Linked DNA regions of Ovis aries. The protein of the gene in region 2 purifies or fractionates together with the protein of the main gene of each other region. This does not show direct contact. Links are inferred from orthologs where the notes say so. Each region holds a gene or a part of one and is shown on either strand. Other genes may lie near its edges.

Region 1 (4,573 bases), on a different chromosome or scaffold from region 2:
ACTAAATTTATAAATTCTGAGTCTCAAGACAGAAAGGGAAGTGACGACATAACGATCCAAGCAAGGAGTTCCCTCAGGTCACAGCTTCCCTTAAAAATCACTTTTTGAGGGCTTGTTGCCACCCTCTTGTCATTCTCATCCAACTGGGTATGGTGGCTAGAGGTGACAGAAAGTGCACTGGGTACACTGCAGCCCATCAGACTTGTTTTCAAACTTATCTCTGTTGCTCTCCAGCCATCTGACCCTGGCTAAGTTACAGAACCTCTCTGGGAACTGGTTTCCTGGTCATTGGTAAAAACGGGGGTAATGCTTTCTGCTCTGACCGTATTGTGGAACTTGGAAAAGGACTTTGCAGGCTGTACCGTGCTGCACAAGGGATCACAGTGTTCCTTTACTCCATCACCTCCTAGGAGATGAGGGCTTCATCTCTATAGGGACCTTAATACAGGAGTACTGAACAATGGGCTTCCCTGGGGGCTCAGTGGTAACGAATCTTCCTGCCAATGCAGGGGATGTGGGTTTGATCACTGGGTCGGGAAGATCCCCCGGAGAAGGAAATGGCAATCCACTCTAGTATTCTTGTCAGGGAAATCCCACACACAGAGGAGCCTGGTGGGCTACAGTCCACGGGGTCATAAAAGAGCTGGACACAACTTAGCGACGACACAACAACAGCGACAACAATAGCTGATTCAGATTCATGCAGCTATTGCTTACCCCCCACACCACCCGTTGCCAGGCCCCCTTGTTGGTTTTGCGATGGAGAAGTAAGAGGACAGGACCTAAAGGATCTAGGGGCTGAGGTATTGGCTTGGTTCCCGTGATGCTGATCGGATCAGCCCAGTTCCGGTTCCCACTTCTTTACTGTGAAGAAGTTGGACAGGATGACCTCGAAAGTCATTCCTAATTCTACACCCAAAATGAGTCATCTCTGTTTCAGGTGACACTGCCCATCAGCAGCACTGATGCCCAGGTTGGGGCAGCTCTGGACATGGGTGGGGTGGCAGGCTGGAGGCTGCCGGAGAGGTCTGGGAGTCGCCCACCAGGCTCTGCCAGGCTCTTCTGTCCATGGCATTCTCTAGGCAATAATACTGGAATGGCTTCCTGTGCCCTCCTCCTCCAGGGGATTTTCCCGACCCAGGGGTTGAACCCATGTCTCTTGGTGGGTTCTTTACCACTAGCGCCACCTGGGAAGCCAAGGAGTCACCAGGGGACTAGCAGGGGAAAGAAGGTGCTAGGGAGGGGCTAGAGGAAAACTCCTTAAAGGACTAGGGTGGGGAAAGGCGGGGCTAGCCCGCCTTCCACATTCTTTTCTGGTGTCTCGGTGGGGGTGAGGAGGAAGCCAGGTTGGCAGCTAGCTGGGTGGCTGCTGGGACTGATGGGAATGGAGGGTCTCCCTAGAGCAGGCCCTGGACTGGGCAAGGCACGTCTATGCTCCACCTTCACTAGGGCAGGTGTTTGGTGTGATGACTTGAACAAGGGCAGGTCCATCTCATACCCTGTCAGCTCCAGGGAGAGGAGCAAATCTTGTGAGACTTTCCCCTGGGGCTCATGGGGAAACAGATCCGAGTGAATAAGTAGTTTTGTTACAAGCCTCCTGTGGCATGCCCCTGCTTCTATAGCCATCTCTCTCTGGAGAGCGGCACAGGGTCTGCCTTTCCAAATGCCTTCCTAATGGCAAAGGGGAAAAACCGTCCACCTGTGAGCGGGGGAAGTGACCCTGGAACTAGGACACCAAGTCCCCTACCCCTTGCCTCTGTCTCTGGGGGGCCCCTTAATCCCCCTAGGGAGGGCTCCGAGGGGCCTCTCCCCTTCCCCGCTGCCCGCCTCAGGCTGCCGTAGGCTGAGAAGCTGCCAGTAGCCGGCAGCGGGAGTCCTGGAACTCCCAGGCCTGCGTCCTCCCCAGGTGACAGTCCGCTCCCGGTGGCCCCACCCGGCTTCTGGGTGGGCTGGCGGGGGAGGAGGTGGGGTGGCCACCTGATCCCTCCCGGAAATGGAGAAACACGGGACTCATCCCACGCGGGCGCCGATAAGCATCGGCCCCAACTCTCCCCAACTGCCTCGGAGTTCTCTCCAGTCCAGATACTTATCGCCCTTTGGGGAAAAAAAAAATCAAGACAAGCTAGTCTTTCAGGTAGTTTCGAGGGAGCTCGGACTTTCTCACGCCGGCTCAGAATCAGTCTGAGAGGTCGGGGATGCAGGAGGGACCCCGACTTTCATTCACGAATGGGGTCCCGGGATGCCGACATCCGCGGTTGGGGCGTCCCTTCCCCTCCCGTGCAAACGTGCCAACAGCTCTTGGCTGAGCGTCCCTGGCGAGTCATTAGTCCCTTTTTGCGTCCGCATCCTTCCCCTCCTCGCGGCCCCGGATACTCGGGGGACCCCGCCCGGGTCACGAGCCGCACAGTCCGCCACAGCCTCCCACGATCAGGGCCTTAAGTCCCCAGCAGAGGGGTGCTCTGATTCTTCCTCCTGCACTCTGAGGGGCTCGGGGTGGGAGCATACACCAACTCCAACCGCAGCTCATCAGGGCTCTTCAGCCGCCCGCCTCGCTTCGGACGCGCCCCGGATCAACCCGCCCGCCCCGCCCGTCTCGACTCGGGCCGAGGAGTTAGCTGGCGGCCGCAGAGCCCTCTCCTCCCCGCCAGGAGTCTTCCCCGCGCAGGCGGGGCGAGTGCCCGGCAAAACCGATCGCGGACTGAGTGCGCCGGGCGGACAGGTGGACCCCGAGAGGCGCGCGCGGCCGTCCACTCACTCACCCAGAAGATGAAGTTAAATCCGAAGAGCAGGTATTTGATGCACTTGGTGCCTCCTTTGACCGGCATGATGCGAGCTAGAGTGGCCTGGGTTGGACAGATGTGAAACGGGGCCGCGTGAGGCCGGGACGGGCGGGACCGGGCTGTGGACTGAGGTGCGCGCGGCTGCTGGCTGGCCTCGGGGCTGCACTTTTAAAAAGTGCCACTCCTCGGGCGCGCGACGCCGCGGTGCGCATGTGCCGGGTCCCGGCCCCGCCCCGCCCACGCCCCGCAGGCCCCGCCCCCGGCCCACCTGCCACGCCCCGCCCAGGTCCGGGGGCCCGCGGCTCGTCCCGCCTCTGTCTCAGTGCTCCCCACCTAGTTGGCCGGACCTGACTTCCCGCCTTGCCTTCCCTTTTCTCCCAACCGTCCTGGAGTCTTTCTAGGCCGTCATCCTTGGCCGATTTCATCCTGGAATTATGTGAAGGCCTCACTCCTCTCGGTTCTCTCCTGGATTCTGCCCCTCCCGAGCCCTCTGCCCTAGGGAGAACTTCCCCGGTGGGTGGTGAGGGCAGAGGCCCCTTACCCAAGGTGGCGCGCAGAATGAGGGCTCTTCTTGCTTGGGGCCCGATTTGAAGAGAAACTGCCCTGTTTCTGTCTCCCTGGGGTGGCTCCTTGTACACTTTAACTCTGAAGCACACTCTTCACTCGGCACATGGAGGCTTGCCTTCCGGATGGGAGGATTCGTAGGGGCTTATGGAAGTAATCCTGAAATACCATCAATGAATAGTGATAGGTCTGAGAGCTGGACAATGTGGGGTTGCTTCCTGGATCTGTGGTTTAGATGCCCCAGAGAAGAAAAAGGCTGTAGCCTGGCTTCTGTTCTTGCCTCTTCTCCTCATCACCCTCCTTCTTGCCCTTGCCACTGCCCACTGTCACATCTTTGAGCTCCTGTGCCAGAGTTCTTAGGGTGTTTCTCCTCTGCTCCAAAATGTCCAGCAAATGACAAATGTTGGTTAGGATGTGGAGAAAAGGGAACCCTCCTCGATTGTTGGGCTGTGCTTAGTCACTCAGTTGTATCCAACTCTTTGCGACCCCATAGACTGCAGCCCACCAGGCGCCTCTGTCCATGGGATTATCCGGGCAAGAATACTGGCATGGGTTGCCATGCTCTCCTCCAGGGGATCTTCCCAACCCTGGGATTGAACCCAGGTGTCCCGCATTGCAGGCAGATTCTTTACCATCTGAGCCACCGGGGAAGCCCCCAAAACTGTTGAGAGGGAATACAAATTGATACAACCATTATGGAAAGCAGTATGGAGGTTCTTTAAAAAATTAAAAATAGAACTACGCAGCAATTCCACTCCTGGGTATTTGTCCAAAGAAAATGAAAACACTATTTGGAAATATATTTGCACCCCTATGTTCATTGTAACATTATTTCTAGCAGCCAAGATATGGAAACAACAGAAGTGTCCATCAATAGATGAATAGATAAAGAAAAAAAAATATATATGATGAAATATTACCCATAAAAAGAAGGAAAACTTGCAACCACATAGATGAACCTAGAGGGTATTTTGCTAAGTGAAATAAATCAGAGAGAGAAAGACAAATGGAATCCAAAAAAAAAAAAAAGTATAACTAACCAGAAACAGATACAGAGATACCAACAGTTGGTTGCCAAGTGGAGGTGGGTAGGGGGAGGAGAGAAATAGGTGAGGGAGATTAGGAGGTACAAACTTTCAGTTGCAAAATAAATGAGTCATGGGTATGAAATGTACAATGTAGGGAATATAGTCAATAATTATGTGATATCTTTGGACAGCGACAGATAA
Region 2 (2,816 bases):
GGCACAGGGAGGGTTTATGGCTCCCTCTTGAAGGATTCAGTGGGGAGGCTGGTGAGAGCAGACACCCCGGGCTCTCCGAGGATGTGGAGGGGAGACTGGCAGTGACCTGCTCTTTGGGGGTGGTGCTGGAGACAGAGTGGAGTGCAGAGAGGGCCCATAAAGGAAGAGGAGCAGATAGGAGAGAGTCAGAGGCCCCAGCCAGCTGGGGGCTTGGGGAAGAGGGACCGGAGGCCGCGTTACCCAGCTGGGCCGGGGTGGGGGCTGCCCCCCTCAGTAGTCTTCCGTCAGCCTCTCTGTCTCTGACGGCTGGCTCTTCATCTCCGCCTTCTGCCTCTTAGCTTCATACAGGGCGCGAGTGCGGGCTCGCTTGAAGAAGCCGCACTGCGGAGGGGAGGAGGTGGGGAGGGGCCGTCAGGGGGAGCTGGGGGGTCCTTGCCAGCAGCACTCATGAACTGGGGCTGAGGGCTGGGGAGCCTGGATGCCTGGTTCCCAGCCCCAGCTTGGTGATGTGGCAGGAGCCAGAGCTCCTGGTTCCCCTTTCCGGCTTGCAAGTCCCCCATTAACCCAGGACCAGGAGCTGGAGAGAAAGTGGGGAGGACTTGGGTGATGGGTGGGGTGAGATGGAATGAGATGAAGGGAGAGTTGGTGAGGGTCTGCTGGCAGTGGGTCCCAGAGAGGGAGTCCCAGTGGCGGGCTGGGTGTTCTAACCTTCCACAGCAAGAGGATGATCAGCCCCAGCAGCAGCAGCCCGGCACTCACAGCCACAAGCACCAGCCACAGCTCGATCTCAGCCGGCAGCTCCTCCACCAGGTCAGAGTCAATGTCCACGGAAAACTGGAAGGGGTGAGAAGGGGCTCAGCCATGTGTCCACCCCCTTAGGCCCTGAGCTCATCCTTCCTGTTTCAGCTGGACCCAGAACCCTGCTGTTTGATTTATTGCCTGTAGGGGGCACACAGGGACTGGAAAAGCCCCTGCCAGCCCATTGACAGGCGCAGATTCCTCTGTCCTCTCCTTTCTCCTAGAGGCAGACACCAAGATCTCAGATCTGGGAGGCAGCCTAGAGTCCGGTTTGTGACCCACACATCCAGGCTTGGATACCAGCTCCATCCTTCACAAGCTGTGGGACCTTGGACAAGTAATTTCACCTCTCTGAATCTCCATTTCATGCTCTCTGATAGGATCGTAATGCCTACCTCATAGTATAGTAGGGCAGCCAAAAGTATGGGTTCTGGAGCCAGACTACCTCGGTTCAAGTCCTAACTATGTTATTCACTAGCTGTGTGACCTTGGGCAAGTTACTTAACCTTTCTTTTGTTCACCTGTGAAATAGGGAATATGCTAATAATATCTGTATCATAGGTTGCTGGGAGGATTAAATGTGTTTAATATGAGTAAACTGCTTTGAGAAATACCTGGTATAGAGCAACACTTCCACAAATATTTACAAAAAAATAGAATGCATAGCATATAGTAGCATTTTTTCTTCCCCTACAATGAAGATATATATATATATATATATTATATTACAGGTTTTATAATATAGTTATTGTACATATTTTGCATATATATACACATATATATATTTTAAACTTCCTTTGTGTGTGTTTAATATTTACTTATTTGGCTGTGCTGGGTCTTAATTGCTGCATGTGGGATCTCGTTCCCTGGCCAAGGATCAAATCCGGGCCCCCTGCATTGGGAGTGCAGAGGCCTAGCCACTGGACCACCAGGGAAGCCCCTGCATATATATTTATTTATAGAAAAATATTTTTCTGACTGTACATGATTTCTTAAAAAGTTACTTTTATTATTTCATATTTTTAAATGTATATATTAAACATATATATTTTTTCTTTCACATAAATGGGATCTGTGTGTACTATACACACTCTTCTGTTAACTTTTTCATCATTTTTCGATGTCGGTTAATAAAGATCAACCTAATCTCTTCTGACGACTGCACGTCATTGTAGGAAATGTGCCAGAATTTACTGAACCAATCTCATGCTGAAAGATATTTAGATTGTTTCCAATTTTCTGCCATTATAAACAATGCTTTAAAATATCCCCATGTATTTATGTTTGCAAATTTGTCCTATTAGCTCCTTAATATATTATCATATACAAGATCAAAGGAAATATACAACTAAAAATTTAATAGATATTGACAAATTCATCTTTAAAAAGAATCCATCGATCTATATTCCAATCAATAGCATTTCCTTCTACCTTATCAGAACAAGACAGGATTCTTCTTTTTAATATTTTCTCATATGATATAAAAAAATCTTACTGCTGTTATATTTCACCATACGTACAATGCCTATGTATGCCACCCTTTCTCTTTACATATTAAAAATGTCTATCAATATTCTGTCATATATGCTATAAACTTTTTTTTTTTTCCCTTGGCCAAAGCATTGGAGCTTCCCAGGACTGATCTCCTTTAGAATGGACTGGCTGGATCTCCTTGCAGTCCAAGGGACTCTCAAGAGTCTTCTCCAACACCACAGTTCAAAAGCATCAATTCTTCGGCACTCAGCTTTCTTCACAGTCCAGCTCTCACATCCATACATGACCACAGGAAAAACCATAGCCTTGACTAGACGGACCTTAGTCAGCAAAGTAATGTCTCTGCTTTTGAATATGCTATCTAGGTTTGTCATAACTTTCCTTCCAAGGAGTAAGCGTCTTTTAATTTCTTGGCTGCAGTCACCATTTGCAGTGATTTTGGAGCCCCCAAAATAAAGTCTGACACTGCTTCCACTGTTTCCCCATCTACTTCCCATGAAGTGATGGGACTGGATGCCATGATC

What was found.
Region 1: the proteins of ITGA3 (region 2) and CD9 purify together in Homo sapiens (affinity purification with western blotting; 3 studies listed by BioGRID and IntAct, with this or other methods). This does not show direct contact. The link is inferred for Ovis aries from reciprocal best matches to the Homo sapiens genes ITGA3 and CD9.

What each region holds. Positions count from the first base shown.
Region 1 is NC_056056.1:209,986,471-209,991,043, forward strand, and holds the start of CD9 (CD9 antigen), read right to left. Parts: upstream 2,967-4,573; 5' UTR 2,826-2,966; coding exon 2,760-2,825; intron 2,363-2,759; exon of another isoform or gene 1-2,362. UniProt on the Homo sapiens protein: Integral membrane protein associated with integrins, which regulates different processes, such as sperm-egg fusion, platelet activation and aggregation, and cell adhesion.
Region 2 is NC_056064.1:36,300,801-36,303,616, forward strand, and holds part of ITGA3 (integrin alpha-3), read right to left. Parts: intron 835-2,816; coding exon 412-834; 3' UTR 382-411; coding exon of another isoform or gene 271-381; 3' UTR 1-270.